Linked DNA regions of Macaca fascicularis. The protein of the gene in region 5 interacts with the protein of the main gene of each other region in a pairwise test. Links are inferred from orthologs where the notes say so. Each region holds a gene or a part of one and is shown on either strand. Other genes may lie near its edges. The genes, in order: RAB33A, MIEF2, SNX10, NIF3L1, RABAC1, ZFYVE21 and SNX15.

Evidence for each region.
Region 1: the proteins of RABAC1 (region 5) and RAB33A interact in binary tests that used the Homo sapiens proteins (3 or more experiments, as listed by UniProt). The two-hybrid records come from large-scale screens. The link is inferred for Macaca fascicularis from reciprocal best matches to the Homo sapiens genes RABAC1 and RAB33A.
Region 2: the proteins of RABAC1 (region 5) and MIEF2 interact in binary tests that used the Homo sapiens proteins (3 or more experiments, as listed by UniProt). The two-hybrid records come from large-scale screens. The link is inferred for Macaca fascicularis from reciprocal best matches to the Homo sapiens genes RABAC1 and MIEF2.
Region 3: the proteins of RABAC1 (region 5) and SNX10 interact in binary tests that used the Homo sapiens proteins (3 or more experiments, as listed by UniProt). The two-hybrid records come from large-scale screens. The link is inferred for Macaca fascicularis from reciprocal best matches to the Homo sapiens genes RABAC1 and SNX10.
Region 4: the proteins of RABAC1 (region 5) and NIF3L1 interact in binary tests that used the Homo sapiens proteins (3 or more experiments, as listed by UniProt). The two-hybrid records come from large-scale screens. The link is inferred for Macaca fascicularis from reciprocal best matches to the Homo sapiens genes RABAC1 and NIF3L1.
Region 6: the proteins of RABAC1 (region 5) and ZFYVE21 interact in binary tests that used the Homo sapiens proteins (3 or more experiments, as listed by UniProt). The two-hybrid records come from large-scale screens. The link is inferred for Macaca fascicularis from reciprocal best matches to the Homo sapiens genes RABAC1 and ZFYVE21.
Region 7: the proteins of RABAC1 (region 5) and SNX15 interact in binary tests that used the Homo sapiens proteins (3 or more experiments, as listed by UniProt). The two-hybrid records come from large-scale screens. The link is inferred for Macaca fascicularis from reciprocal best matches to the Homo sapiens genes RABAC1 and SNX15.

What each region holds. Positions count from the first base shown.
Region 1 is NC_088395.1:136,439,261-136,443,429, forward strand, and holds the start of RAB33A (ras-related protein Rab-33A), read left to right. Parts: upstream 1-1,369; 5' UTR 1,370-1,460; coding exon 1,461-1,718; intron 1,719-4,169.
Region 2 is NC_088390.1:18,388,743-18,392,862, reverse strand, and holds the start of MIEF2 (mitochondrial dynamics protein MID49), read right to left. Parts: upstream 2,801-4,120; 5' UTR 2,725-2,800; intron 1,960-2,724; 5' UTR 1,753-1,959; coding exon 1,739-1,752; intron 738-1,738; coding exon 584-737; intron 371-583; coding exon 208-370; intron 1-207. UniProt on the Homo sapiens protein: Mitochondrial outer membrane protein involved in the regulation of mitochondrial organization.
Region 3 is NC_088377.1:103,912,161-103,914,789, forward strand, and holds part of SNX10 (sorting nexin-10), read right to left. Parts: intron 446-2,629; coding exon 233-445; intron 1-232. UniProt on the Homo sapiens protein: Probable phosphoinositide-binding protein involved in protein sorting and membrane trafficking in endosomes. Plays a role in cilium biogenesis through regulation of the transport and the localization of proteins to the cilium.
Region 4 is NC_088386.1:96,632,252-96,636,369, reverse strand, and holds the start of NIF3L1 (NIF3-like protein 1), read right to left. Parts: upstream 2,801-4,118; 5' UTR 2,199-2,800; intron 1-2,198. UniProt on the Homo sapiens protein: May function as a transcriptional corepressor through its interaction with COPS2, negatively regulating the expression of genes involved in neuronal differentiation.
Region 5 is NC_088393.1:48,998,616-49,002,747, forward strand, and holds RABAC1 (prenylated Rab acceptor protein 1), read right to left. Parts: upstream 2,801-4,132; 5' UTR 2,717-2,800; coding exon 2,661-2,716; intron 2,380-2,660; coding exon 2,167-2,379; intron 1,771-2,166; coding exon 1,673-1,770; intron 541-1,672; coding exon 439-540; intron 356-438; coding exon 267-355; 3' UTR 105-266; downstream 1-104. UniProt on the Homo sapiens protein: General Rab protein regulator required for vesicle formation from the Golgi complex. May control vesicle docking and fusion by mediating the action of Rab GTPases to the SNARE complexes.
Region 6 is NC_088381.1:171,891,718-171,895,757, reverse strand, and holds the start of ZFYVE21 (zinc finger FYVE domain-containing protein 21), read right to left. Parts: upstream 2,801-4,040; 5' UTR 2,782-2,800; coding exon 2,644-2,781; intron 1-2,643. UniProt on the Homo sapiens protein: Plays a role in cell adhesion, and thereby in cell motility which requires repeated formation and disassembly of focal adhesions.
Region 7 is NC_088388.1:9,339,897-9,343,396, forward strand, and holds part of SNX15 (sorting nexin-15), read right to left. Parts: intron 2,513-3,500; coding exon 2,397-2,512; intron 2,301-2,396; coding exon 2,153-2,300; intron 1,843-2,152; coding exon 1,699-1,842; intron 260-1,698; exon of another isoform or gene 1-259. UniProt on the Homo sapiens protein: May be involved in several stages of intracellular trafficking. Overexpression of SNX15 disrupts the normal trafficking of proteins from the plasma membrane to recycling endosomes or the TGN.

The DNA.
Region 1 (4,169 bases), on a different chromosome or scaffold from region 5:
AAGATGTGTGTGATGATTAGTAAGCTTTGGGAAGCAGCCCCCTAATATTGTAAGGAGATTGTGTTCATTTATCATCTTCCAAGCATAATCTAGGCTTCTGGCAAATTAGACTCAACCACTTTGTTCTACATTCAGCTGCAGGGGGAGTGAACCCTCCTAGGGATTCCCAACTCCCTCTGAAACTCCACCCTTCTGGAAGGACTTACGGTTATATGGAGGGCTTGGGAGTGGAAGGCACTGTGGAGCTTATGCCATGTCCCAAGATCCTCCACCTGGGCCAGTAATGGCTAGCCCCATAAACAAAGTCCCCTTTTGCTGGAACTGCCACCACTAGCTTCCCCCCTTCTCCTAGCCTCTGTGTGGCCCTCTCCCGCGGCGAGCCTTCCCCATTGGCCAGCCAAACACAACCGACTGCGGCAGCCAATAGGAGCCGCTCTCCTGAACATTCAGAGGATGGGTGCTCGTGGTGTGATGAGGGGATGTTGGCGCCTGGTACGCGCCCCCCTACATCTGGCAAGTCTGTGACAGAAACAGTAACACCCCCTACACACGCACACGCGCGCCCGCTGGCTCCCTCCTCTCAACTGTGCAGGCCCGGGACAACCCACTGCGTGTCTTGGCAGCGCCCTCTCAGGCTGCCTGGGGCCCGTGAGTGCACCTGCTCACTCAATAAGACAGAACATCCCTTTATCCCAAGGCGCGGGTCGGGTAGAGGGTGGGGGTAGAGGGGACGGGGTAGCGGGGACCGGGAAGGCGCGGCTCAGCTGCCGGCTGCTCCCGAAGTGAAAGAGGTGCCTTAGCCCCCACCCCATCCCTGCAGAGTTGTGTTGCTCCAGGGAGGCCGAAGTGATCCAGTGATGCCTTAGGGTGCAGCTCTTTGTCCTCCCCAGCTGTGCTCCCTGCCCGCTGATCCCGTGCGCTCCGAGCCAGTGGGGGTGGGGAGCCCGAAACTTATAATATAAATGGGGGCAAGGAGAAAGAAGTCTATCCCGGGGTGGCGTGTGCTGCTGTCCCCACCCCCTCCCTTTCCTCCTGAGGCTTCTTCCCTCCGGTCGGTCTCGGGGGTGCAGGCAGGGGAGAGTGTGGGCCGAGGCGCGGCGGCGGCTGGAGCAGCGCCGTAGGGTCCTTCGCCAGAGCATCCGGTCCGAGGGCGCACACAGGCAGAAGGCTCGCCGCTCGTCCACTCTCCTCCCTCTCTCCTCCTCTCCCTGGCTTTTGTGTTGGTGCCTCCGAGCTGCAAGGAGGGTGCGCTGGAGGAGGAGGAGGGGGGCCCGGAATGAGAGGCACCCTCTTCACGCGCGCGCGCACACGGTGCCGGCGCACGCACACACGGGCGGACACACACACACGCGCGCACACACACGCGCACAGAGCTCGCTCGCCTCGAGCGCACGAACGTGGACGTTCTCTTTGTGTGGAGCCCTCGAGGGGGGTTGGGGCCCCGGTTCGGTCCGGGGGAGATGGCGCAGCCCATCCTGGGCCATGGGAGCCTGGAGCCCGCCTCGGCCGCTGGCCTGGCGTCCCTGGAGCTTGACTCGTCGCTGGACCAGTACGTGCAGATTCGCATCTTCAAAATCATCGTGATTGGGGACTCCAACGTGGGCAAGACCTGCCTAACCTTCCGCTTCTGCGGGGGTACCTTCCCAGACAAGACTGAAGCCACCATCGGCGTGGACTTCAGGGAGAAGACCGTGGAAATCGAGGGCGAGAAGATCAAGGTGATCCCGGGGGTCAGGTCCAGGAAGGGAGGGACCTGGGAGGGGACCTCGCCCGAGGCATAGCTGTAGCGGTTGTCATCGTCCAGCGTCCCAGCGCGTGGCGGTTTCGCCTCTTGCTGAGCCGAGGACCCTCGGCCCCTCCTCACCCCTTTTCACCTCTCTCAGCGGGGTCCCGTCCCCATATCACTCAGTTTTTTAGGGCGGTCGAGAATGGTTGCATTCTTACCCTTTGCTCCTGCCTGACAGGTCCTGCCAGGAAAAGCATGTTGGATCCCATCCTTGACCCCTAGCCCGAGCAGCGGCACCTGTGGGCAGAGGGAGGCAGGAGGCATCTCTGGGTCCTAGTCTGTGGGATGGATCCCAAAGCACTTTACACATCCTGATGTCTCTTCTACCGCTTGGGTGCCGATAGGCTGCAAAACCCCACTTCAGCTAAGCCTCAAGTCATTAGAGGGAAGGAAAGGATGGAAATCCATGGAGAATGAAAAAGCTGCTTTATTTTAAATTGCAGTTTATAGTTAAGATTAGGGCTGAGTTGAGATGGGGGTGGAGTGAGGTGGTTCTGGCAGAAAGCCATGAGCCCTTTTAAAGAAATTGAGGCAGGGTCACCAGCCAGCCCTTTGTAATCAACAAAACTTGTTTTTTATTGTAACAGGCCCCCTGGAATGGTATTTTCTTTACTTGTCTGGGGTATCTAATACATGAACTGCTCCTTATTCATTCTGTTGGTATTGTCTTCAGAAGGTCTTTGTAAAAATGCAGTGACTTAACCGAGGGCCAGGGAAATGCTCAATCCTCCCCCCTCCATGAGTTTATGTAATAGGCTAAGTGCAAATATTCTTGTCTGACCATTTGTGCTCACCTTTAATTCAGAAAAGGTAGAAACCTGATATGACACGAATATGTCAATGTGCAGGGCATGGAGGGAGGGAGGACATAACAAGGGCAACTTCCTGTGTCAGGGGAGCAGAGGGGGGCCTCTATAAAGGCAATGGAATCACTGAAGACAACTCCTCTAGGCTCACAGCTGGCCTTTCCTTGAGCGTATGGTTGGACCCTAGACAGAGTCAGGGGTAACAGTAAGCCTCCTTCTTGCTGGTCAAACGGCCAAAGTGACCACAAGGCCCCTCCTCTGAGTGACGTGGAGAGAAGGGCTGAGTAACTGATGAAACACTTGAAACTGTGCAAGACTCTGACTCCTTGATTATTAAAATGAACATGTTCTAAAAATGGCTTCAGAAACTGGGCCAACGCACTAGATGTCAGGAAGATGGACAGCTCAGTACTGATAAGGGAGAGCCCCAGGGTCAGGAAGATAGAACATTATTTTGAAATTGTGATCTTTTTTGCCCCTTGCATTTTGAAGGGGAATTGCTACATTTCCTTTTAAAGTCAAAGGCAGCATCTTGTCTTTGTCCTTTCCTGGGGCTGTTGACATTTGCTTGGTTAAGACTTCCTCTAGTGTGTCTGGCTTCTTTAATGTAAGGCTATACGATTCTAGAATTTCTAAAACATGCCTTTGTAATCCAAAGTAGAAATATCTTTACGGATGGGCTCTTAAACCCTCAAAAACCTAATGCTCTCATTTGCTTAAAATCAAGTGTTACAGTAAGCCAAAGAGTTCCCTGGATTTAAAAGGTGGGAAATAAGCCCATCTGAAATTTAAATGGAAAAAAATGAAGTGTTTGGGAATCTAAAGAAGGAGGGAGGAGGAAGCTAGAAAGTGAGGGATGGGAGATGAACACGAGTGGAAGAGTCACCACCCAGTGGTCTCGGAGGAATTTTTAAACCATTCCTTCTCTTCTAACACCCCAGTACTTAGCCAAACTGGACTTTACAGTCTCTGGCAAAGATTCCAGACTTTTTCCCAGAGGGCAGAGCCTGTGACAGTGTGACTCACTAGAAACAGAACTCAGCACAACACCACGTGCAGATAAGTGCTTAATACAGGCTTTTTTTGGGAAGATGATATTTTCAAGAGGACAAAGCCTTGTGACACTGCTCATGGAGGAGTCCTCTGAGGGCAGATTCTGAAGGAGCTCAGAGCAGCGTGTGAGAGTGGGGAGATGGTGACCCTGCTTCTTGTAAAGCTGCTGCAGTCTCAGGACCAGAGCTGGCAGGTGAGAGACCAGCATGTCTGTGGGAAGATGGCAGGGCCTGGCAGCTAGCACGTGATCTAGATAGGAGAAGATTTGGCCTCACACTCTGGCTAGCCTGAAGTTGTTCAAGGAATACATGCCAAAGCCATGCTTGGAGATGACTGCCAAGGGCTTTGCCCTTTGGGAGAGAGAGAAAAGTCCGGTGTGACAGTCCGAGGTCTGGCCTAGACCATGGCCAGCAATAGAAGGCTTTTGGGCTGTAACATACCAGCCCTTGCAGGAGAGTGGTAGAGAGGTCTCAGCCAGTTCTTCTCAGTCTAAGAGCAACGGTGTGGCCTCTTTTGGGCTGCCT
Region 2 (4,120 bases), on a different chromosome or scaffold from region 5:
TTTCCCCATCTAAAGCTCCCCACTATCACAACGCTGCCACTTTGCTCCAGGAGCAGGACAAAGAAACCCCACCCCCATTAAATGTCTGAGGAGCCCGCAACCCAGAGAGAAGCAGGGACTCGCACAGGGCCGCACAGTCAGTCAGGGCAAAGCCTGGGCTGCGTCTCTCGAATGTGACACCAACAGAGGGGAAGGAGTGCCACTCACCTGGGGCAGAGGGCGAGGGGGCCAAGGGCAACACTGGCTGGCTGAGGGCAGCAGGTGGAGGCCGGGGCTGCAGGTGTGGTGTGGCCTTGAGCAGGCTCAGTTCCTTCCAGCTGTCTCCCTTGGTGTCATCCTCGTCCCGTGGGCTAGTGGCCCTGTCAATGAACTACAGGCAGAGTCACAGAGATCAGTGTATATGAAGTCTGGGCAGCCGTAGCAAAGCCCAGGGGCAAAGGAGACCAGGGTGCAGGGTGGAGAAGCAGGTGCAGTCTTGCAAGGCCTTGGGCAGTCCCCACCCCTCCCCAGGGCCCCTCTGAAAAGCCCAACCCTGTTGTCCTCCTGCAGGAGCCTCAGGCATGACCCACCCACCTGGCCTTACCCGCTTCACGGCCAGGGTGGCAATGCCCAGCACAGCAGCCCCGCCCACGCCCAGCACCAGGCGGGCATTGGCCAGGAGGAAGTCCACCATGCTGCCCAGCCCCTCGTCGCCACGCCGCTTCCCCCGTTTCTGGGAGAACTCTGCCATGGTCTGCCTGTAAGAGAGCCAGGGGTGAAGGGGCAGCTCAGGTGCAGGTGGCCAGGCTGAGAGAGGGGCTGCTGTGGGCAGGTGCTCTGGCTGTCCTTATGCTGGGTAAGAGAGCTCAGCCCATGAGGGGGGTTTTCTGAGAATTTCTCAAGAGAAAGGGGCCACCCATCCACAGGGGAGGACACCAAGGTCCTGGGAAACCATGTAAAGTACCTAAGAAAGGGCAGGGATGAGATATGAACTTGGGTTTTGGGGCCCCAATCCCCCATCTCTCACGAGGAGATGAGGGAGCTGCCAAGCCCCTTCCCCCAAAGCTGCAAACAACCCACTCCCTGGAAAGAAGCTCGCAAAGGCCCTGAGGCTTGTGCAGGTAGAGGAAGGGGCCGCTCTCCCTGGAGCCCACCCTCCAGGACCTCTGACATCACCAGGGTGTCATCATCTCCATCCCTATGTTACAGAGCCACAGGCTGCCAGCTCACAAGTGAGTGGTGAGGTCTCCAACCCACGACTGCAAGGCCTCCAGACTCTCATCACTCACAGAGTCTGACAGATTCTCCCTGTGCCAGGTGGCCAGGTCCTCAGCAGCAGCCTTATCTGAAAGTCCCTAACCAGAGGGCACGGCAGCCCTCTATGATAGCCTCTTCAGAAGAGCCCAAAGTCCAGAGAAGACAAACAATTTGGGGCCCCAGCCAGTCTGGGGGACCACTGGAACCAGTTACCCTCCAAATCTTGACAGGGTAGCCCCAAGAGGCAGAGCTACCGAGTCAGAGCACAGGCAGAGTGACACGGCCCGAGCTGCCCGGGCAGGCCAATGCAGATGTGCTTCTCAGGGTTGAAGCCCCTTTGGCAGGGCAGAAAGGGCTGCCCAGTGCCTCTGTACAGAGGGCTCTCTGGGCCTCTCAGTCTTGGGACAATGTGTAGGTAGTGGTGGGTGATGCTTCTCAGCTGCAGGGAGGCCAAGCAACAGAGAAAGGAAGGTGAGGGCCTGGGCCCAGCCCGTTTGCTCACCTGTAAGATGGCATACGCAGCAGTGAGAGGCAGATGTGGGCAGGCTTGAAGTGTGTGGCTGGGTGGGGCCCAGCACTTGGGAAGTGGAGGCAAAGATCTAGGACCCAGTCCACATTCCTCACGTTCTGCGAGGGTGACACTGCCCTCAGGCCCTGGGAGATGAGCTGGGCTGTGACCTTCGAACATCAGTTAGACACTAAGCAGAACTCTCCCAGGGAGGCCTGAGCAGATGACCATGAGGTCACAGCCTGCCCGGGCACCAAGGACTTCCACCTGCCCTGCCAGAGTGTCGTGCCAGGGGCCCAGTTGCCAGGTGACCAGATGCCTGGAGTAGCTAAAGCCCGAAGCGCTGTGTGACTCAGCCCCGTACACCCGCCTATTCGCCCCAGACTAAAAATAAGACGGTCTGTGGGGAGATCCCAGGCCAACCAGGTGACCCGCCACGGCCCCAAGGCCGGTTTCAGTCTCCTCATCCGTGACTCGGGAATCAATACTGCCACCCACCCCCAGAGAGACCAGGAATCTACTTTGCAAACTGTAAAGCGCTTTAAATACTCCCAACCTGTCTAAATTGGGACTCAGCCCCACCACTGGCGGGGTCGCTCAGGCCTCAGCCCACAGCCTTCCAGCTCCGGGAAGCGGGAGAGGGCACGGGTGGCTGAAAATAACCCGAGTTTGCCCAACGAGGCCCTGGAGGCCGTCTGGCCTTCCCTCCTCTGCCAAACGCGCCTGCCGTGGGCCCGGGCGGTGCAGCCCGCAGCAGCAGCCCTAGGTGGGCGGGTGACGCCCCGTTCGCAGGGAAACTAAGAGACCGAGAGGGGAAGGGGGCTGGGCTGGGATTCGAACGCGGCCCTTGGTCCCCCAAAGGTCCCCTCCCCGCCTTCCCCAGCCGTGACCGCGGGCCACGCCTCCGATCAGCGTTCAGTCGCGCGCCAAGCCCTGAGCCCGGTGACCCTGGGGGCCGCCCCGCCGCGCTCCAGCTGTACCTGCGTCGCAGCTTCCGCACAACAACCGGAGGAGGCCGCGGGACCACGGTCCCTGAGCTCGAACCAGCCTGAGACTGGAACGTGAAGGACCCTGGAACCCGACGTCGAGGGCCCCCGGGGGCGGCCGCGGACTTCGCAGCACGCAGACAAGCAGGCCCTAAGTCCAATCGGAGCGCTCGAGTTCGGAGCACAGGTGCCAAAATACTGCGCAGTTCAGCCAATGAAGGGTAGGCCCCGCCCCCCAGCCGACAGACGCGCTCCCTTCGGGGCGGGACTCCCTGACGCAGTCCGAATTTAAAGGTGCAGGGCTGCATTCCGAGCCTGCGACCAGGTGATGTGACAGGCAGCCCTCCGGGAAGTCTGTGCGTTGTAATGTGAGCCTCCGGTGTGGAAAAAGCTGTCTGGGCCCCCGTTCCTTCCAGGAGCCAGGTAGAGAGGCTGCACATGGCTAGAGGCCCGGCACATCCAACCTGTTAGATCACCTCTGCGAGAGAGTGTCTTGGTGGCCTCGTTCTTAACTGTGGGCCTGCGAGGCACAGTGTGGCGAAAGTGCCTACCCCTGCCACCTGCTCCGTGCGAGCTTATGTGGGCCATTCTCCACCTGGGCCTGTTTTTCTCCTGTAAAATGGGGACACTAGACCCCCTCCTCCCCTACGAAGCATGGCTGGGCATATAACAGCTGTGGCTCATTTATCGGGGTCCTGCTATGTGTCAGCCAGGGCGAGCCCCCTGTGAACAGCAGGGACCAAGACAGATGCTTCTCTTCTGGACCCTCCCTTTGTAGGGGGGCACGAGCACAGGGGTGCTGACACTAAGTGGGAATAATAAACCTGGCACACAAAACAAAACGGAATAATAACCTGCCACTCACTGAGCGCCTGCTGTATGCTGCAGGCTACACGTGCATTCTTTGTTCATTTACTTATGGTGACAATCTTAGGAAGCATTTTACAAATGAGGAAACTGGGTAGGGCGCGGTGGCTCACGCCTGTCATCCCAGCACTCTGAGAAGCTGAGACCGGAGGATCACTTGAGGCCAGGACATCAAGACCAGCCTGGGCAACATAGCAAGACCTTCGTGTCTACAAAAAAACAAAAATAAATTTAGCCAGGTGTGGTGGTCTGCGCCTATAGTCCCAGCTAATCGGGAGGCTGAGCCCAGGAGTTCGAGGCTGCAGTGAGCTATGATCACACCACTGCACTCCAGCCTGGGCGGCAGAGCAAGAAGACCCTGTCTCAACAAAATAAAAACAACACATGAGGAAACTAAGTCCAGAAGCTGGAGAGCTAGGACCCGAGGAGCCAGGTGTCTCACTACCACCGGTCAGCCAAGTACAGGCACTTCCTGGGCCCCTGCGACCCGGGGCCAGGGTTTAGAATCTCTCCGAGGTCAGGG
Region 3 (2,629 bases), on a different chromosome or scaffold from region 5:
GAATGCAAATAATTGAATTTCTACTGCATTCATTAATTCAGTGTGGAGGTGTGTGTGAAGACTACTATGATGAGCTGTCACAGCTCAATAAAATCTCAGTCAATTAATTTTTTCATTATCTTAGTATTACATCAACAAAAAAGTGAAGTGTGTATATATATCTATACACATGCATATGTGCACTATGTGTTACATAAATACATATACATTAAATCAAAATGCAAGGAAATACCTTTCTGAATCATAATCTATATCATTTTCTTTTTTTCCTTCTTCATCTTCTTCAGGGAAACGTCTGTTCATCAAGGCAAACTTGTGAATTGCTTCTTCCACAGAATACTTAGTCTGCCCAGAAACACACGCCTCAATGTCTTCTGAATTCAGATGGCTCTGTAAGAAGAGGTGAAGGCTGCTATCTGAAAGCAAAAGTGCATTCTGTAGGACTCTGTATTAAAATAGAAAAAAAGGAAAAATAATTGGTGAACAAGATGGTCAGTGATAGGGTAGAAGAAAGAAAAACATTAGAAAATGTACCACTGAAGGTAATTTCTCTCCTGTGGTAAACTTTGTATCAATTATGGGGCTCTGCCCATTAAGGGGAGGAAAGCATATGTTAACTTTTATTCAATTATTTGGAAATTTAGGTGGGTAAAAACATGAAGCTAATAGTTAAGAACATCTGTTAAAAGAATAACTTCAAGGACATTTCTTCAATTTACCCATCTGTTATTACCATGTGGATTAATTATGGAAATATTTTGCTTAAATAGTCATAGAAATTTATTCTACTTTAAAAAATTTACTGCCAACAGCATGTCAACTCAGTGATCTTTATGAGATAGGCTGTCATGAAACATCAAAACTTTCAACTACTATTAAAAATTGTATGAAGAAGTCGATACAATTCTCAGCATATTTTACATTTTAAAACTTTACAAGTATAGTTATATACTTAAGTGCATGTTTACAACAGCTCATGAGAGAGATGGCTTTTTTTTTAATACTTAAGGTTAACTATAAATTTCTCCAAAATCTTTAGGAGCACTGAATCTGTGTGTTGTCAAAATGAGCAACCAAATAAAATTGATCCCAGCCAACTTTACCATATATATAATTAAAATATGATAAGGTTGTGATGAGTACATACTGCTCTTCCCACATTCAAGATCAAAGTTTACAAAGACAGAACAGATTTCAACCAGGGCATCAGGACTACATGGAAGATTAAAAACTATCCTGTAGCAAAATCTATAGATGCTCAAATTCATATCAGTGAATGTGTTTTCTCTGAAATGCACATCTTAGAATATGAAATCAAATCAAAGTATACCTTTATATTTAAATAAAAACTGATTTATCTTTTAGCAAAGATGTTGACATATGATAATTTAGTCTCTACGAATAATAGTTCAATAGTTATGTAAGAGGAGACACTAAGACCGGATATAGGGGACAAAACTAAAACACTAAAACCAAGTAGAGTTTTGTTCAACATAAGATATTTCCAGTATAACGATCTGTGAAAAATAGATCATGTATTTCAGACCAAATGAACCTTACCTTATATTCTGCTTGTTTAAACAAGTAATAAGGAAAGTAAATCTCTTTTGGCCATTAATATCAGTTTAGTGAAAATCCAAGGCCATTATAATAAGTCCTTTTCTACAAAATAAATTATTTCTCAACAAAGGCAAAAATGCCTAAAAATGCACAGTATTAAAACCAAAATCTAGCTGTCCCCTTTGCTTCAGCAGGTTTACAGTTTGAGAAAATATTCTTTACTGGTCTATTAGAAGGAAAAGTAAAACCTTTGTGCTTTTCAAAAGGCAAAACCTCAAGCAAAACAGCTAAATCCTTCCTTTTCCCTGTGTCCTCACTCCTGGGTCCTCCCAGAAGATGACCATGTCACATGATAATGATTAATTCACCAAGTACAAGTAGCTAAGTAGTAAATCCCTCTGTACTCTTTGAGATTTATTTTCTACATTTACAAATGTTTACCGTTCTGGTTTTAAATACTTCAGATTAAGAGAAGAGTTACAGACAACAATCCATTAATATGAACTTGGATCGTGAAGTCTGCGAAGTGAGCAGACTGTTTCCTGTGGCCTCTGTCAGCGGTTTCCTGCCTGCCGTCAGTACAAGGAACTGTTCATGGGATTGTACTCACAGCTTTGTTTCTGTTAGAAATGTGTTTTATTTTCTTTATAAAATAATGGGTAATCTTTAAAATTGATTTTAGATGGTTTGAGGCATCACACCACAAAAGTAATGAGCACTAATGCCAATGATACTGGACACAAATTCATTTTAGCTTTATTTCATGTCTGAAGCAATTCTACTGAGCCTTGAACCGCTCACGTGTTGTTATTAACTTGCTAGTAACTTAACACATGGGTACAGCAAACAAAAGTGATCAGAGTCCAGGTTGATTGGGACCTCAAGGCTACTGTCCTTTTTCTTGAGCTATAATTCAATTTCCAATTTTACTGTACATTAGACTCATTATTTCCCAGTGTTTTCTTTTTCTGCTCAATACTGCCATCTGGAGGACACACAGATGAAAAGAGAAGGAGCCAGGCTCACCCAGCTCACAGTTCCAAAGAGGGAGAAAGATGTGGCTGAGGAG
Region 4 (4,118 bases), on a different chromosome or scaffold from region 5:
GAAGAAAATGACTTTATTCTAATTAACTCACAAAGAATAAAATCATAACAGCTAGTTTAAGGAGGTAACACATTTTGCCCAGTCCCAAATTCTACAGAGTAGGAACACACCCCCTTCCATTTCAGTTCTGAAGTAAGGAAGCTAGGAATGACAGGAGAGGTTTAACTGATGGTTACACTTTATACCTTCACTATCAATTCTATTTTTACACTAAATTAACTTAAGGTATGAGAGCTGATTTTCCATCTCTCCAGGTTGAACTTCTTGATTAGGCCAATCCGTTTGCAAGTCGGCACTGTTTCAGCACCTCATTGAAACCCTCACAGAGCTTGATGTCACCCTGGTTCTGGGCACACTCCAGAAACTGTTTGATCTCATAGAAGCAAGGCTGCTGCTGCTGTGCCAGCTGGGTTCCCTGTGGCTCCTGGTAAGTGATGTCAGGACTCGCAGGCTCCACTTATTTTTTTTTTGAGACGGAGTCTTGCTCTGTTGCCCAGGCTGTAGTGCAGTGGTAGATCTCGGCTCACTGCAACCTCCACCTCCCAAGTTGAAACAATTCTGCCCCACCCTCCCGAATAGCTGGGATTACAGGAGCTTGCCACCACGCCCGGCTAATTTTTTGTATTTCTAATAGAGATGGGGTTTCATCATCTTGGCCAGGCTGGTCTTGAACTCCTGACCTCGTGATCCACCCACCTTGGCCTCCCATAGTGCTGGGATTACAGGCGTGAGCCACCGCACCCGACCTCCTCCAGGTTTTATTCTAAACTCTGCCACTTTTAATCAGTGGTGCAAATATGGTTATTTTTTGGTTTTAAGAGTGTTAGTCCAAACTGCACCATTTTGTAAATCCCTGCCCCCCGCCCTCCCCCGTTCCCCCGGCCCTGCCCCGTCTCCCCCACAGGCTATTTTGCAGACCTTGGTCAAAGTGAAACATTCCACGGGGGTTCGGGCTGTGAGAAACATCCTGCCCAACCACCTGACCACAAAACGGACAAACGCACCACTAAAGAAACACCTCTGTCATATTCTGCTGTGAGAAAGTGCGAAGAACACCGCATTCCTGCAGGGGCATGGTGGCTCACCCCTGTAATCCCAGCACTTTGGGAGGCCGAGGCGGGTGGGTCACCTGAGGTCAGGAATTCCAGACCAGCCTGGCCAACATGGCAAAACCCCGTCTCTACTAAAAATACAAAAATTAGCGGGTCGTGGTGGCGCGCGCCTGCAGTCCCAGCTACCGGGGAAGCTGAGACAGGAGAATCGCTTGAACTCAGGAGGCGGAGGTTGCCGTGAGCGGAGATCGCACCACTGCACTCCAGCCTGGGTGACAGAGCAAGGCTCCATCTCAAAACAAAAACAAAAAACAAAACAAAAAAACCCACCACCACCACATTCCGCGGGAACAAGGGCCAGAACCGCCTCGTTATGGGAACATCTTAACATCCTGCAGGGCAGCAAGCCAGTAAGCGTTATGGCCCAGGCCCCTCCCGCCCTTACCTAAAAGTATCCCACTGGTGGGCACCGGCATTAGGCTGGTCCCCCACTTCTGTAGATCTTAGGCTGGACATAAAGCCTGCATTTGCTGTAGAGCCGCCACTCTGTTTCTTTAACGCTGGCCTTCCCTTCAAAAACTTATCAAGGAGTTTTATTCTTAGAATGTGTACTCAAGTTACAGCCATAAAAGCATCATAGGAGGTACGCTGGCTACCCACGGTGGGCCTAATGCAGGCACCATGAGGATCAAGGTGCAGAACATTGATTTCTGTTGGCTCACACTGAGCTGACACGTTCACTGATCCCATTAGTAATCTGAAGCCATCTGACGCTAGTGGTATAACATTTACTTATTTTTTAGAGACAGGGGTCTCCCTATGCTGCCCAGGCTGGTCTCGAAATCCTGGGCTCAAGCGATTCGCTCTCCTCGGCCTCCCAAAGTGCTAGGGTTACGCGCCAGACACATCGCGCCGTGAAGTATTATTTTTAAAGTAATTGTTTTAGTGGTCGCAATCAGGGCACGTGCTATTGTGTATCCTGAGTCCCTCACTTTTCCTTGTTCACAAGTTATTCCTTGTTCTAGCGTTCAAAAACAATTTTCAGTGAGTGGGGACGACACTCTCCCCTAAAACTGCAATGTTTTCTCGGTATCGGGAGATTAGAGACAACACAGCAAGCATCTACAACTTCCTTTCATCACCCACCTCTGGCTCCCGCCCCGGCGCCTGCGCCCACCGTGGTCACGCGTCCGCCAACGCTCCGGACGCCCGCCCCTTCCGCCTGCTCGCCCCGTGCATGCCCCGCCCCGCGGCGGAGACGCGCTCGTTGCGTCATCGGTGTTTTCGAGGCGAGTCCCGACGCAGCAGCTGTCAGCTCCATTTTGTTGTCGGTGCTCGTCGCAGTCAGCTGGGTGATTCCCGTGATTGCGTTACAAGCTTTGTCTCCTTCGACTTGGAGTCTTTGTCCAGGACGGTAAGACGCAGGAGGGAGCGGACTAGGTGACAGGGCCGTTCCTGTGAGCCTCGCGGGCGCCTGGCGATGCCACCACTTCCCGCTTGTTTGCTGCCCGCCGTCCCTGGCGCGACGACTGCCTGCTCCCTTCACTCCCAGGCTGCATAATGGCGGCGCGCCCCTCTTTCCTGCGCGGCCGAGCCCGTCGCCGCCGGATCCGGCCTGCGGGAGTAGTTACGGTGTTTGCTAGGCCGGCCGCCCTCTTGGAGTGTTCGCCCTCCGCTGAGGGAGCGGCGCCGCCTGACGTGGGAGGGTCGGGTGGGCGCCATGTTGTGGGCCGCCTCGGCCGAGCTGTAAGATGGCGGCTGGGCGGAGGCCGGCCTTGGCACTGTGGCCGGAAAGGCGAGGCTCCCTGTTGGGGGTGGGGTTTGCTGGGGTTCCGGAATGTGCTTGAAGCACGCAGCTGTGGGGAAATGTCGTCTGGAGCAAGTGGAGGAAGAGACGGAACCCGTAGGGGGTTACAGTTAATGTCTAGTGGTTAAAGGGTCGGCGTAAACGTCGCGAGTGGCTTTGTCCTCAGTGGTGTTAACAAAAACGAGACTTGGGAACCTAAGGAAAGAGAAATGCCGGGGTGTATTTGAAGGAGCGTTGTGACAAAAGTCTGGTGACCGAGCATTTTATGCGATGGCGTTTCAGCGTACTCCTCTTGGGTTAGCAGTTGGAGCTTTTGTTTCTTGGAGTGTCGCTCTGTCGCGCAGGCTAGAGTGTAGTGGCGCGATCTCGGGTCACTGCAGCCTCCGCCTCGCGGGTTCAAGCGATTCTCCTGCTGCCTCAGCCTCTCGAGTATCTGGGATTGCAGGCCCGCGCCACCACGTCCGGTTAATGTTTGTATTTTTAGTAGAGACGGAGTTTCATCGTATTAGACTGGCCTCAAACTCTTGACCTCAGGTGATCCATCCGCCTCGGCCTCCCAAAGTGCTGGGATTACAGGGGTGAGCCACCGCGCCCCGCCTCCCTTTTTTTTGGGGTGGGGGGAGAAGGTCTCGCCCCTGTCGCCCAGGCCGGAGTGCAAGTGGTGCAATGAGGGCTCACTGCAGCCTTGAAATCCGGGCTCAGGTGATCTTCCCACCTCAGCCTCCTGAGTAGTTGGGACTACAGGCGCGCGCTACCACCCCCCGGTTAATTTTTTATTTTTTGTAGAGTCAGGGTCTCGCTATGTTGCTCTGGCTGACCTCGAATTCCTGGGCTCAAGCAATCATCCTGCTTCAGCCTCCCAAAGTGCTGGGGTTACAGGCATAAGCCACGGCCCCCGACCCGGTTGGAGGGCTTTAGAAATTGTACTCAGGCTGGTCCAATGGTAATGGGTTATTATAACTTAGTAGTTACTAGTGTCACAAAAATTAGTATACAACCCCTACAGCTAAATTTGACAGGCTTTAAAAAAAAAAAAAAAAATTGTAGCCAAAGACGCAGAGGGGTTCCACTTGGAAGAAAGAACGGCAGTTGATGAATTTCTATATAATGTCGTTTTCAAGTTGTTAGGTTAGAGATTTTCGATTTTGTTCGAAGGATTTCTGAAAAGAAGGTGGTTCTTACCATTCCCAAATTGATTGTGTTAACATTGCGTTTAGGATAAATTATGTCGTATGTGATTGGGAGTGGTACTGGAAAGA
Region 5 (4,132 bases):
TTTACCTTATCATCTTGCCCACACCCCAGGTTCCACCCCAACCCTGATCTGCACAGTATTCCCAGCTGCACCCATAGAGACCCACAGAAGATGCTAGGGGAGTATTTCCTGAATGACACCCGTAACAGCTTTATTTTCAAAGGCGGGATCCCTCCCCGGGCTTGTGATGGGACGGCGCTATGGGCCCGAGCAGCAGAGCTGTGCAGGAAGGAGTAGGCAGGGGCGGGGCAGCTGGCCCGGGAGGCTGGCAGGTCCCAGAAGACACCTCACACGGGTTCCATCTGCAGCTCCTCCCCGTCCACAGCCTCAATCTGGTGGAAGGCAGCATGGGAGCCGATGACCACCAGGGTGGCTCCTGCAGGAAAGCCGGCAGCTCAGGGCCATGCTCCTGTACCTGGCCCCCACCATCCACCCCAGCTGCTCAGACCCTGTACTCACCCAGCACCCAGAAGACGGCCGAGCCCGCACCAGCCAGCCAGAAGAAGGGGAAGGAGATGCCTCCAGCCAGAGCGTACTGATGCGCTGGGCTCACCTCTCGGCCTGAAAGCAGATGGCATTGGGGCGCTGTTCCGACCCTTCATGCCCTCTCCCAGAGTAACCCCTGCTGCCCCCCAACAATCTGTATAAGCTTCAGGTCCTCGGGATCAAATCCAAACTCCTCATGCCAAGGCCCTCCAGGTCCTGGGGTCACCCTGCTCCCCTGGTGTCCTCACTGCCCTCCAGAACACAGCACACCGTCCTCGCCTGCCTCAGCCCCACGCTCTGCCCTCTGCCCCACATCCTCCAGGAAGTTCCTGGGATCCCAGCTTCCTGCTCCCTAGACTAGGGCTCTCCTGCTGCAACCCTCACGCAGACCAGGGGTCTCAAACTGGTGGCCCAAAGGCCAAATCTGACCTGTGGATGTGTGTTTGTTTTGAGATGTTTTACAAGGATGTGATTTGTGGCTGGCAAAGTGAATGATTTCACATAAAAATACCAACTTCACGCTTCCCATAGAAGTCTCAGGGATGGGGTCTGCATGCTCTGGTGCCTGTGCTGCAGGCGCTCCCTCCCCCTAAGCCCGTCATGCACATAACTTGCAGGCCCCTGAAGAGCCTGGCCTTCAGGTCTACCTGACAGCCCAATCCCAACTCCCTGACCCCACTCCAAACCTTGATTTTCCCCTGGGGGGAATTTCCCCTGGCATTTTGTTCTCCCAGTGGTCCTTGGTACTAGTCTGGGAACCACATGAAACACACTCCTCAGCTTCCCCAAGTTCCAAGTTCTTTCTGGTCACATCCCAGAAAGCAGGAAAAGAAACGGGAACAGATCTAGGCCAGTGTAAGTTCGCCACCTGGTGTCCAGTGTGGGCACCTGCAGCTGATGCTTGCCGCAGAAAGCGGCAAGGGGAGGAGAGAGGGGAGGAGTCATGTGGTTTGAAGAGGAGTAGGTTTAAGGCACAGCAGCCAGGTGGAGCCTAGGTTTGAGGAATAGCAATTTGAGGGGGCTGAGACTCGATGGGAGCATCGGTTGTGTCTGAGATTTTTAAAGGATCAGGTTTGGGAGATCTAGTGTACATCTAGGCTTCGGCGGACTTGGGTTTTGAAGGACTTGGATTTGGGGTCTGAGGTTTGCATTCCAAAAGACCAAGATTCGAGGGACCAAGGATTCATCTGGGCAGGGGGTTTCTCACCAAAAAGCACAAGCTTGGACTGCAAGGTGCGCAGATAGAGAATGTAACAGGCGCCGAAAAAGACAGCCAGAGCCACCAGCAACATAGGGGACGTCACCCTGGAGGAGGAGTGCAGGGAGGCAGCGGTTAGGCAGCTGGGGCTGGTCAGCCAGGGAGCCCTGGCCTTCTCCACCGGCGGGAGGCAAGCTACATTCTGGAGACCAGGGAGGGCCAGGTGACATTCAGTCACACTGCATCCTGGCCAGGGTGATGGTGGGGTAGGGACCTGGCCCTTTGGTGACAAAGTAGGTCTAGCAGAGCCAATCCTTGGGGGCGGGGCCGGCCTGGGCGGTGAGAGGAGGGGCCTGGGCGGTGAGGGGAGGGGCCTGGGCGGTAGGAGGGGGGCCTGGGTGGTGAGAGGAGGGCCCGGGCGCTGAAGGGCGGGGCCTGAGCTGTGAGAGGAGGGGTCCACCCGGTCGGGGCTAGTGCGGGTGCAGGGCCCGGGATGCACTCACACGCAGTACAGGATGAGGCCCAAGAACACGAACACATAGTTGCTCTGGTAGTACTCCACGTTGCGTACGAGGCGCTGGCACAGCTCGCCCAGGTTGCGGGGCCGTGAGAAACGCTGCTGGTCCACGAAGGTGCCCCACGGCCGGATAGTCGCGCGGCGCCGCTCCAGCCACTCCCGGCCTGCACCGGAGGGAATCAGCTTCGGCAGCAGGGTCCTGCGAGGGGTGGGGCCGGGTCAGTGGTGGACCGGGATGGAGCCTCAGACCCCCGCAAAAGAAGGGGTTTAAGGGGGCTTGGACTCCCTCCCGGGACCCCAGATTACTGAATCGCAGGCGGGGAGGGGGGTAGGGGCCCAGACGCCAGGGTCCCATTAGAGGAGACCGGGGCCAGCGCTTGTGCGTCTCGGGGCTGGGACTCCGGGCACTCGAGGGAGGAGGGGGCCAGGGTCCCGGACTCCCGGGCCTCGGGTCCGAGGGCCTAGAGCCGGCTCGCTCACGTGGCGCTCAGCCCTTCCGCCTCGACATCTTTCTGCTGGTCCTTCTGGGCTGCCATGTCTGCGTCGTGAGGGGTAGAGCTGCTGTAACCAGCCCGGTACCCTGCAGACCCCGCCGGCCCCGCCCGAGGCCGGCCCCACCCAGCGGAGTCGACGTGGCGCCGCTCGGGAGCAGCTGGGGACTGTAGTTCTGCCGCCGATCATTGTGGGAGTTGTAGTCCTGACGGTGGCTGGGAGGGTGGGCGCCATGATGGCGGTCTGACTCGCAAGACACCTTGGGAGATATAATCCCAGAAAGTGACGGCGCGCACCTCTGGGCATTGTGGGACCTGTAGTTTCAGGAGGGTGCAGGTGCGCTGTCAGGAAAGAGGGCGTTATGGGAGCTCTAATGGCAGAAGAGGGTGTTGTGTACTCTCCCAGGCAGGGCACAATGGGGACCGTGCAGAGCTGTCGTTCTGACTCTAGAGGGCATAAAAAAACAACTAGAGGGCTTGCTAAAACAGACTCCTGGGCCCCACCCCAGATGTTCTCATTCAGCAAGTCTGGGGTGGAGCCCATAATTCGCATTTCTGAGTTCCCAGGTGATGCTGATGCCGCTGGTCCATGGACCACATTTTGAGTAGAAAGATTTAGAGAGTTTGTGGGAATTGATTCCTTCCTCAAGAGATTGAGGCTAGTGAGTGGGTCATGGTTGCTGGAGGGGTATCTGAGGTTGCCCCCTGCCCCACTTTGTGGAGTCCCAAAGATGAATGAGTTGGGACTAGGGACACCTCCGCACCGCCACCACCCCCCCCCCACCTGCAAACACACACACCTTTGGACAGGAGGGAGTGAAATTGGGAAAGAGAAAAGGTTGGGAAGTTTTGTGGGTTTTTCTGGGATGGAGTCTCACTCTTGTTGCCCAGGCTGGAGTACAATGGCACAATCTCAGCTCACTGCAACCTCTGCCTCCTGAGTTCAAGCGATTTTCCTGCCTCAGCCTCCCAACTAGCTGGGATTACAGGCGTGCACCACTATGCCCAGCTAATTTTTTGTATTTTTAGTAAAGACGGGGTTTCACCATGTTGGCTAGGTTGGTCTCGAACTCCTGACCTTGGGATTCGTCCACCTCAGCCTCCCAATGTGCTGGGATTACAGGCATGAGCCACTGTGCCTGGCCCCAAGTGACTCTTTTAGGCCCAGGTCTTGTCTTCCAAGATCTACGGCACTTCAGGGTTTGTGCTTGGAAGCCTGCTGGAAGGCGTTCCCAGGAGGTGGGGGGAAGATGGCCCTGTCCAAGGGGCTGGTGGTGCAATAGGCAGGGAAGCCCTTTGCAAGGGCCCCACACTGAAGATGGAAGAGTTACACTTTGAAGATCAGATTGGCTAGTTACTATTTATTTCCTCTTTGTCACCCCCAGGCTTTTAGTGGAATCGGGTTTTCTTTTTCATTTTTGAGATGGAGTTTCGCTCTGTTGTTCCAGCTGGAGTGCAGTG
Region 6 (4,040 bases), on a different chromosome or scaffold from region 5:
TGGCAGAGTCAGACAAGCCCCAGAGATCATCTGAGGCTTCCTTCACACCCCCAAAGCACCTCTATCCAAACTGGTGTCGCACGAAGCTTTACACACCGCCTCTGCCTCCCCTGCCCCACAGGTTCTTGAGGAGGCACAGACTGGAGAAACGATTCTCAACTGGTTCTGCATCAGAGCTCCTTGAGAATCTGAGAGCTGCAGGCCACCTCTCTGAGAAAGGCACACATTCCCCAGGGGGGTTTGCAGCATTTTAAACGGATAACCCTCATGGGCCCAAACTGATAAACCAGCCCAGGTCAGGCACCTGGTATTCCGGAGCTGAGCAATGGGCTGGACTCAGACTCCCCTGGCTAAGGACAGAGCCGGAATGAAAATGGATCAACACGTTTACAGATATGACGATGATGCCAATTGGCACACGGCCACCAAGCCAAGGACAATGTTACCCACCTGCCAAGTTCTACCAAATTCTCCTCTCCCCGTGACGAACCACCACAAATAAACCTATTTCCCACAACGAGTTATCTGCACATTTGAGTCACCTCCTGACAATCACCTTAGCAGCCCCAAGCACACAGCCAGCACAGCGTGGCTCAGTGTCCCCTTCAGCACCGCCACATGCCTGCCAGGCGACTGTTACAGTAGTGTCCCCTCGAGCTATTGCAACTAAAGCTGGACTTTATTCCAAATCTTCCAGCCCTCACTGCCCCGTTCTAAGTTCCTCCAGAACACTGTCTTTGGTCACTTCTGGCCTGTAAGACCATGCTCCAATAAAATTCACAACACAAAACTCAAAGACAAAGTCCATCTTCACTAGAATGGTTTCTCTGTCCCCCAAGCCCGCCCAATGCTAGGACCTTTTTCAGCTGCTCAGATCCCAATTAATCATCCAAACATGGTGGGGGGCAATGGAGAGGCATCCTGCCACCACGTCAACATGGGAAGGAATCTTCTTTTCCACGAGGGGTACCACCTTGACTTAAGTGTTTCAACTCCACTCGGTCGGAAGTCACCGCGGGACTTCCACAGTGCCTCAGCAGAGGTCACAAAGAAAGGTGGGGGAAAATGCTAAACAATTCAGCTGATACCAAAAGGGCTCTGGAAGAGAGAATGAAGGAGGGGAACACAGTGGTCAACTAAAAAACAGAACTGTACGATCAGTGCATGTGTACAGTAGGGAGAAAGAAATTGTGCTTTGCTGGAAACTTCTGCCTCGTCTGGGCCACACTTTCTCACGTGCTCCATATGGTTCATACAGATGTGGAGTATTTCTGTGCTATTAAGAGTTCATTACACCATAAATACATACAATTTTCACTTGTCAACTTAAAAGTAAAATTTTAAAAAGATGTCATAGGCGGATGATTAGGGGGAAAGTGTCTAAAAAGACTCCTTAGGGTGGCGATACTGGGGAGAGAGGTAAGCAGCACTGGTCTCAACTCTTCAGGACACGCTTGCATACACTGTAGATGCTGAGACACTTCCTGTCCCCGAGGCTCTGTGGCCGCCCACCCCCCCACCAGGCCTCCGACCAAGCTTCAATGAACGCAGTCAATTAGTGCTACTTTGACTTCTTGAACCTAGTTCCAACGTCTGCTTAGTTCTCTCACTGAGGGAATTAAACGAATCTGTAACATGTGTTAAGCATGAAAGTCATATTACAAAAATTATCTTTCTCTCCCAATTTTTTTTATCGTGGTTAAAATCCACAGAACAGAAACTGGACACACCTGTTAGCGCACAGGCAGTGGGATTAAATGCACTCAGGGCCTTCCTAGCTGGCCAATGGGCTGGTGTGAGGCAAAGGCACCTCCGATCAGGTCACAGGGAACCCCGCGGGAGGCCCAGGGGACCGCCTGGCTCAGGGACCCCCCACCCCCGCTCCAATTGCTGCAGGAGTGGCCTGGGCAACTCCTGCCGTGTCTAGGCCTAAGGGAAACGCGTGCAGATCTGCGGTCTCCTTCAAACTGTCCAGTGGGCGACTGCGATCTCGCTTCCGAGGTGGAGGGTGGTGTAGACGAAAGGGAAGTGGGGGCAGCCAGGCCCGCAGAGTGGGTCCTGGCCCTCCTCCCGGCCCGGCTTCTGAGCAGGAGATGGCTTCGGAACCCGCCGCCCGCCCGAGGCACCGACGCCTCCCCCGATTCCCGGGCGGGACCCCTGCGGGGCCCCCGGCTCCAGCGCTTCGGCGGACAGCACGCACCCTCCCTGCCGAGCCTGCGAGGAACACGCGCCGCCTTCCACTTTCTCGGGAGCGAGCCCCGACTCTCCGGACGCAGTCCACACGCGCCAGCCCAGCACGAACCGGCCTCGGGCAGGGCCGCACCCACGCCCGGGGCCAGCCCGCGCCCCGCACCCCGCCTCCCGGCGCCCGCCCTGGGCAGGTGCAGGGCCTCCTGCCCTCCCGGGACCCCCGCACCTGGACCCCGCACCTGGACCCCGCGCGCCTCCCGCCCTCCCCGCGGACGCAGGAGCCTGAGGCGGCGGCCCGGGGACGCGGCCAACCTGGGGGAGAGTGGGGCGGGGGCCGGCTGGGGAAGGGGCCGCCCGGAGGCGGAGGGGGCGCCGCAGGAGCCCGGAAGCCCGCTGGCTGGGCCGGGGCGGCGGGGCGGGTCGGAGGCGCGGGCCAGGGCGACGACCACCCACCTCCTTGTCCGGGACCCACTGCGGCTCCTCCAGGCCGAACGGGCTTCCGAAGGCGCGGTGCTCGGGCACCATGCGCAGGCCGCTAGGGGAGCGCACCAGCTTCTTGGCGTCGCGGCGCGCGGACACCTCGGAGGACATGACGCCGCCTCAGTCTCTCGGCCCGCGGCCCCGCACCCGGCCCCTAGCCCAGCCCGGGGCACCGCCCGCCCCGCCCCGGTCCGCGCGCGGCTGACAGCACCGGCGTCCAATCGCCAAGCCCGCCACGGAACGCGGACTAATCGGAGCTCGAACTCCGCCCCATCGCGGCCCTCTCCAATCCGCGTAAGGGCACCGCCCCTGCCCCCCTGTGGTCAGTCACCAATCGGCGGCGAGGGCTGGCCCGGATGCGCTCCGCCCTTCCCAGAAAGATTGAGACTTTGGATTGGTTGGTTCGTCAGCCACGTCGGCGTCGTTTCGCCTCTGATTGGTGTAGCCCTATCAGGGCGCTCGGCGCCTATTGGAGGAAGCCGAGAGGGGCAGGACGGCGCGAAGAGGACTGCAGAGCCAGCGGTAGGTGAGACCCGCGGAACCCGGCTGCGGTGCCAGGCGGCGGCGGGGTCGGAGGTCGTGGGCGGCCGCGGACGTGAGGGGTGTGGCAGGGTCGAGGGGCGGGGGCGGCCGCGGGTCTCCATTGCCGGAGCCGGTGGGAGCAGGATGGCCTGGGGCTGCAGCTCTCACCCTGGGTGCCCCGCCACAGCTCGGGTCGCGTTCAGGCGCCTTCCCGGGGCAGGGCCGCGTGCGCTCAGAGCAGGGAAGGCGGGCTCCGGGGGCCCCGGTGTGCGCGGGCAGGTGTCTGCTCAGGGGAGGCCGAGGTGGGCCCGCGGCTGCGCCCCCGGCCTTCGATGCCTTCGTTCGTCCGCCTGGGACTGCGCTGGCCTGGCATCGAAGTGGGAGAGATCTGAACAGTTATTTTAATGCTTTGATTTGGAAAGAAAATTTTTAGGCCGGGCGTGGTGGCTCACGCCTGTATCCCAGCACTTTGGGAGGCTGAGGCGGGTGAATCACGAGGTCAGGAGTTCAAGACCAGCCTGGCCAACATGGTGAAACCCCGTCTCTACTAAAAATACAAAAAATTAGCTGGCCGTGATGGCACGTACCTGTAATCCCAGCTGCTTGGGAGACTGAGACAGGAGAATTGCTTGAACCGGGACCCGGGAGGCGGAGGTTGCAGTGAGCCAAGACCACATTACTGCACTCCAGCCTGGTCTACAGAGACCCGTTCTCAAAAAGCCAAAAAAAAAAAAAAAAAGAAAAAAAGAAAATGTTTATTCATCCTGCCTTTAATTCCTCATTACAAGGCATGAATTTTTATTGTTTTTTTTTGAAATAGTCTCGCTGTGTCGCCCGGGCTGGAGTGC
Region 7 (3,500 bases), on a different chromosome or scaffold from region 5:
CTCCAAGCCTTGGAATAATCTTAGAATAGGAGACTTCGAGAATCTCAGGGGTTTTCTGAAGCCTTGCAGCTCCAGGCTCCGGGGACTCTCCCCATGGGCTGAGTGAGTCTCACTGGAGCTGCGTGTGAAGGGTCTTGAAAAGATCCTGGTTGGACAGTTGCTCATGCCTATAATCCAGCGCTTCAGGAGGCCGAGGTGGGAGGACTACTTGAGTGCAGGAGCTTGAGACCAGCCTGGGCAACATAGTGAGAGCTTGTCTCTAGAAAAAATCAACAACTTAGCTGGGCGTGATGGTGCATGCCTGTGGTTCTGTCCCAGCTATTCGGGAGGCGGAGGTGGGGGGATCGCTTGGGCCTAGGAGGTAGAGGCTGCAGTGAGCCACGATCACACCACTGCCCTCTAGCGTGGTGACAGAGCCAGACCCTATCTCAAAAAAAAAAAAAAAAAAAAAAGAAAAAGAAAAAGAAAAAAAAGAAAGGGAAAAAAAAAAAAGAGAAAATAGAAAAGCTCCTGCCCAGGCAGGCGCTCAGCTGACACAAGGACAGAGCACTTGGATGCCTGCCACCCAGAGGCCAGACACAACAGCCCTGTGACACCAACACTGCCTTTCCCTCCCATTCCTTCTTCCCACTCCCCAACCCTGGAGAGGCAGTAGCAGGAACAGGAGGAAGCAGAACGAGAAAAGTGAGAGGCAGGGCACTTGGCTCATACCTGTAATCTCAGCACTCTGGGAGGCCGAGGAGGGTGGATCACTTGAGGGTCAGGAGTTTTGAGACCAGTCTGACCAACATGAAGAAATCTCATCTCAACTAAAAATACAAAATTAGCCAGGCACCGTGGTGTGTGCCTGTAGTCCCAGCTACTCGGGAAGCTGAGGCCAGAGAATCGCTTGAACCCGGGAGGTTGCAGTGAGCAGAGATTGCGCCACTGCACTCCAGAATGGACAACAGAGTGAGACTCTGTCTCAGAAAAAAAAAAAAAGAATAACAGACATGGGCTCTCGCTATATTGTCCAGGCTGGTCTTGAATTCCTGGGATCTCCCTGCCTCAGCCTCCCAAAGTGTTGAGATTACAGGTGTGAGCCAATGTGCCAGGCCTTGGCGAATTTTAGAATGAAAAACTCCAGTGCCTCAGAGCTTGGGACTGTCGAGTCCCAGGATCTCACAGCAAGAAGGTGCCCAGGACCCTAACCTCCATCAGGGGGCCCTTCAATCTCCGGCATCCCCAAATGCCAGTGGCTCCAGGCCCCCAGAGGGGTTTCCCTTTGCAGCTGCTCTTTGAGCTCAGAACTCACTTCCATTGACCAGCAGGCTTCTTGCCTTCAGGATCTGCAGCCAGACCCTGGCCAGCCAGGAAATCCCACCACGAGCTTACAGCGAAGGAACTAAAATGTCCCAGAGCAGTGTGACCCGGCTCTTTCCAAAGCCTTCTCAGTGAGATGGCCCCAACGTGGGAAGTGCCTCCTTTCCTTCCTCATGGCTACTTGTTGCACAGGTGCATCCAGCACACCACACCACGAGCCCTGGCACGGAGCTGCTCATTCTCACTGAAGCTGCTCTTGGTCCACAGGGCAGCACTACTGAGGGGACGTCTTTCCCAGATCTGCGCAGGCACTGAGCAGGCTAGTGGGGCTCTGCCCTCCTCCCTGTCCAAAGGATGTCCTGCCCTGGCTCCTTCCCGGCTGACCCAGCTCATTACCTTCTTTGGAGAAGGGGTCGAAGAGGGCCAGCTCAGCCTCGGTGAGGGGGCCTCGGGCAGGGGAACCAGACGCTTCCTCGGTGCTCTCACAGTTAAAGAGAAGATCCAGGGCCTCCTGGGCAGGGCTGGATGGTGGGGGGTCCACTGAGGAAGAGATAATTGGAGTCATGAATACCCGCATTTATTTCTCAGCTTTCAAAATGGAATTACTCTCTCTCTAAACCCTTGCAGCAACCATGGGCATAGACAAGCCCGTTATTAGGGTTTATGCCCATTTTACAGATTAAGAAACTGTAGTGCAGAGAAGGAAAAGGACCTGCCCAAAGTTCCTCAGCCAGTCAGTGATAGACCTGGACACACGCCCATTTCTCACTAAGACCACTGAGGAGTGAGTGTGGCCCCCTCCCCACTCTGTACCCTCCAGCCTTGGCTCCCTCCTCCCACCCTGATGTACCTGGCACCTCCAATTCCTCAAGGCCCCTCCTTTCTGCAGGGAGCGGCTGGGGTAGCCGGGGGTCATCAGGGGGCGGGGTGGGGATCAGAGGGGGTGGCAGGATGTGCAGGTCCCTGGACATCTCCGAGGGTCGGGTCACCTCCCCACCCTGCAGGACAGAAAGATCAGCCATGGGGAGTCATGGGGTGCAATCTGGTGGGTGGGTAAGTGGCCCAAGTTCTGGTAAGGTGGAAGGTGCACATACCCTGAAGAACTCCTTGAGCTGGGGGCTGTTGTTGAGCGCAGGTATGTGCACGGTGAAGCGAAGCAGGTCCTCTGCCCCCTTTCGCCGCTCCTCGATCACTGAGGCTTCAAATCGGCCTACAGCCCCCAGGACAAGGAACAGGGGAGAGTGGCGGTGACCTATAGGGGCTTCTGCCCCAGGGCCACTTTTCCTGGTCCTGCCTGAGATGCTCTGAGCAACTCACTGCCCTCCTACCCCTTCTCCCAGGAATCTTCTCTGGCTCCTCCTGGGGTGAGGGAGGGGCTTCCAGGACGGATCAATTTCCCTATTCATTCATTTGCCAGATGTTTACTGAGCACCTACTATATGCTAGACTCAGAAGGTGAACAGGGGAGGAACAAGTCTCTGCCCTTGTGAATATCACATCCTACACAGGGGGAGCTAGGTAGTTAACAAGAAACAAAAACATTTCTGATGGCTTTGATCTAATGAGGAGAAAAGTAAGGCTCAGAGAGGGAAAGTGACTTGCCCAAGGTCACACAGCAAGTAGCCCCCATTTGTTTTTTGAGACAAGGCCTGGCTCTGTTATCTAGGCTGGTGTGCAGTGGCACAATCTCAGCTCACTGCAACCTCTGCCACCTGGGATCAAGCCGCCCTCCTGCCTCAGCCTCCCAAGTAGCTGGGACTATAGGTGCACACCACCATGCCTGGCTAATTTTTGTATTTTTTGTAGAGATGGGGTTTTACCATGTTGCCCAGGCTGGTCTTGAACTCCTGAGCTCAAGTGATTACCTTGCCTTGGCTTCCCAAAGTGCTGAGATCACAGGTGCGAGTCACAGTTTCACTGCTCTGTCCTAGGTATTATGCAGTGCAGGCTAACTCTGGTCCAGTTACTGTGTGGCCATTCTGTGGTACTTCCCCACTGGCCTGGCATAACCTGACAACAGCAATCTTTCACCTTGCTTCAAAAGAACAAAAGAACATCTTGGCCAGGCGTGGTGGCTCACACCTATAATCCCAGCATTTTGGGAGGCCAAGGCAGGTGGATCACTTGAGGTTAGGAGTTCAAGACCAGCCTGGCCAACATGGTGAAACCCCGTCTCTACTAAAAGTAAAAAAATTAGG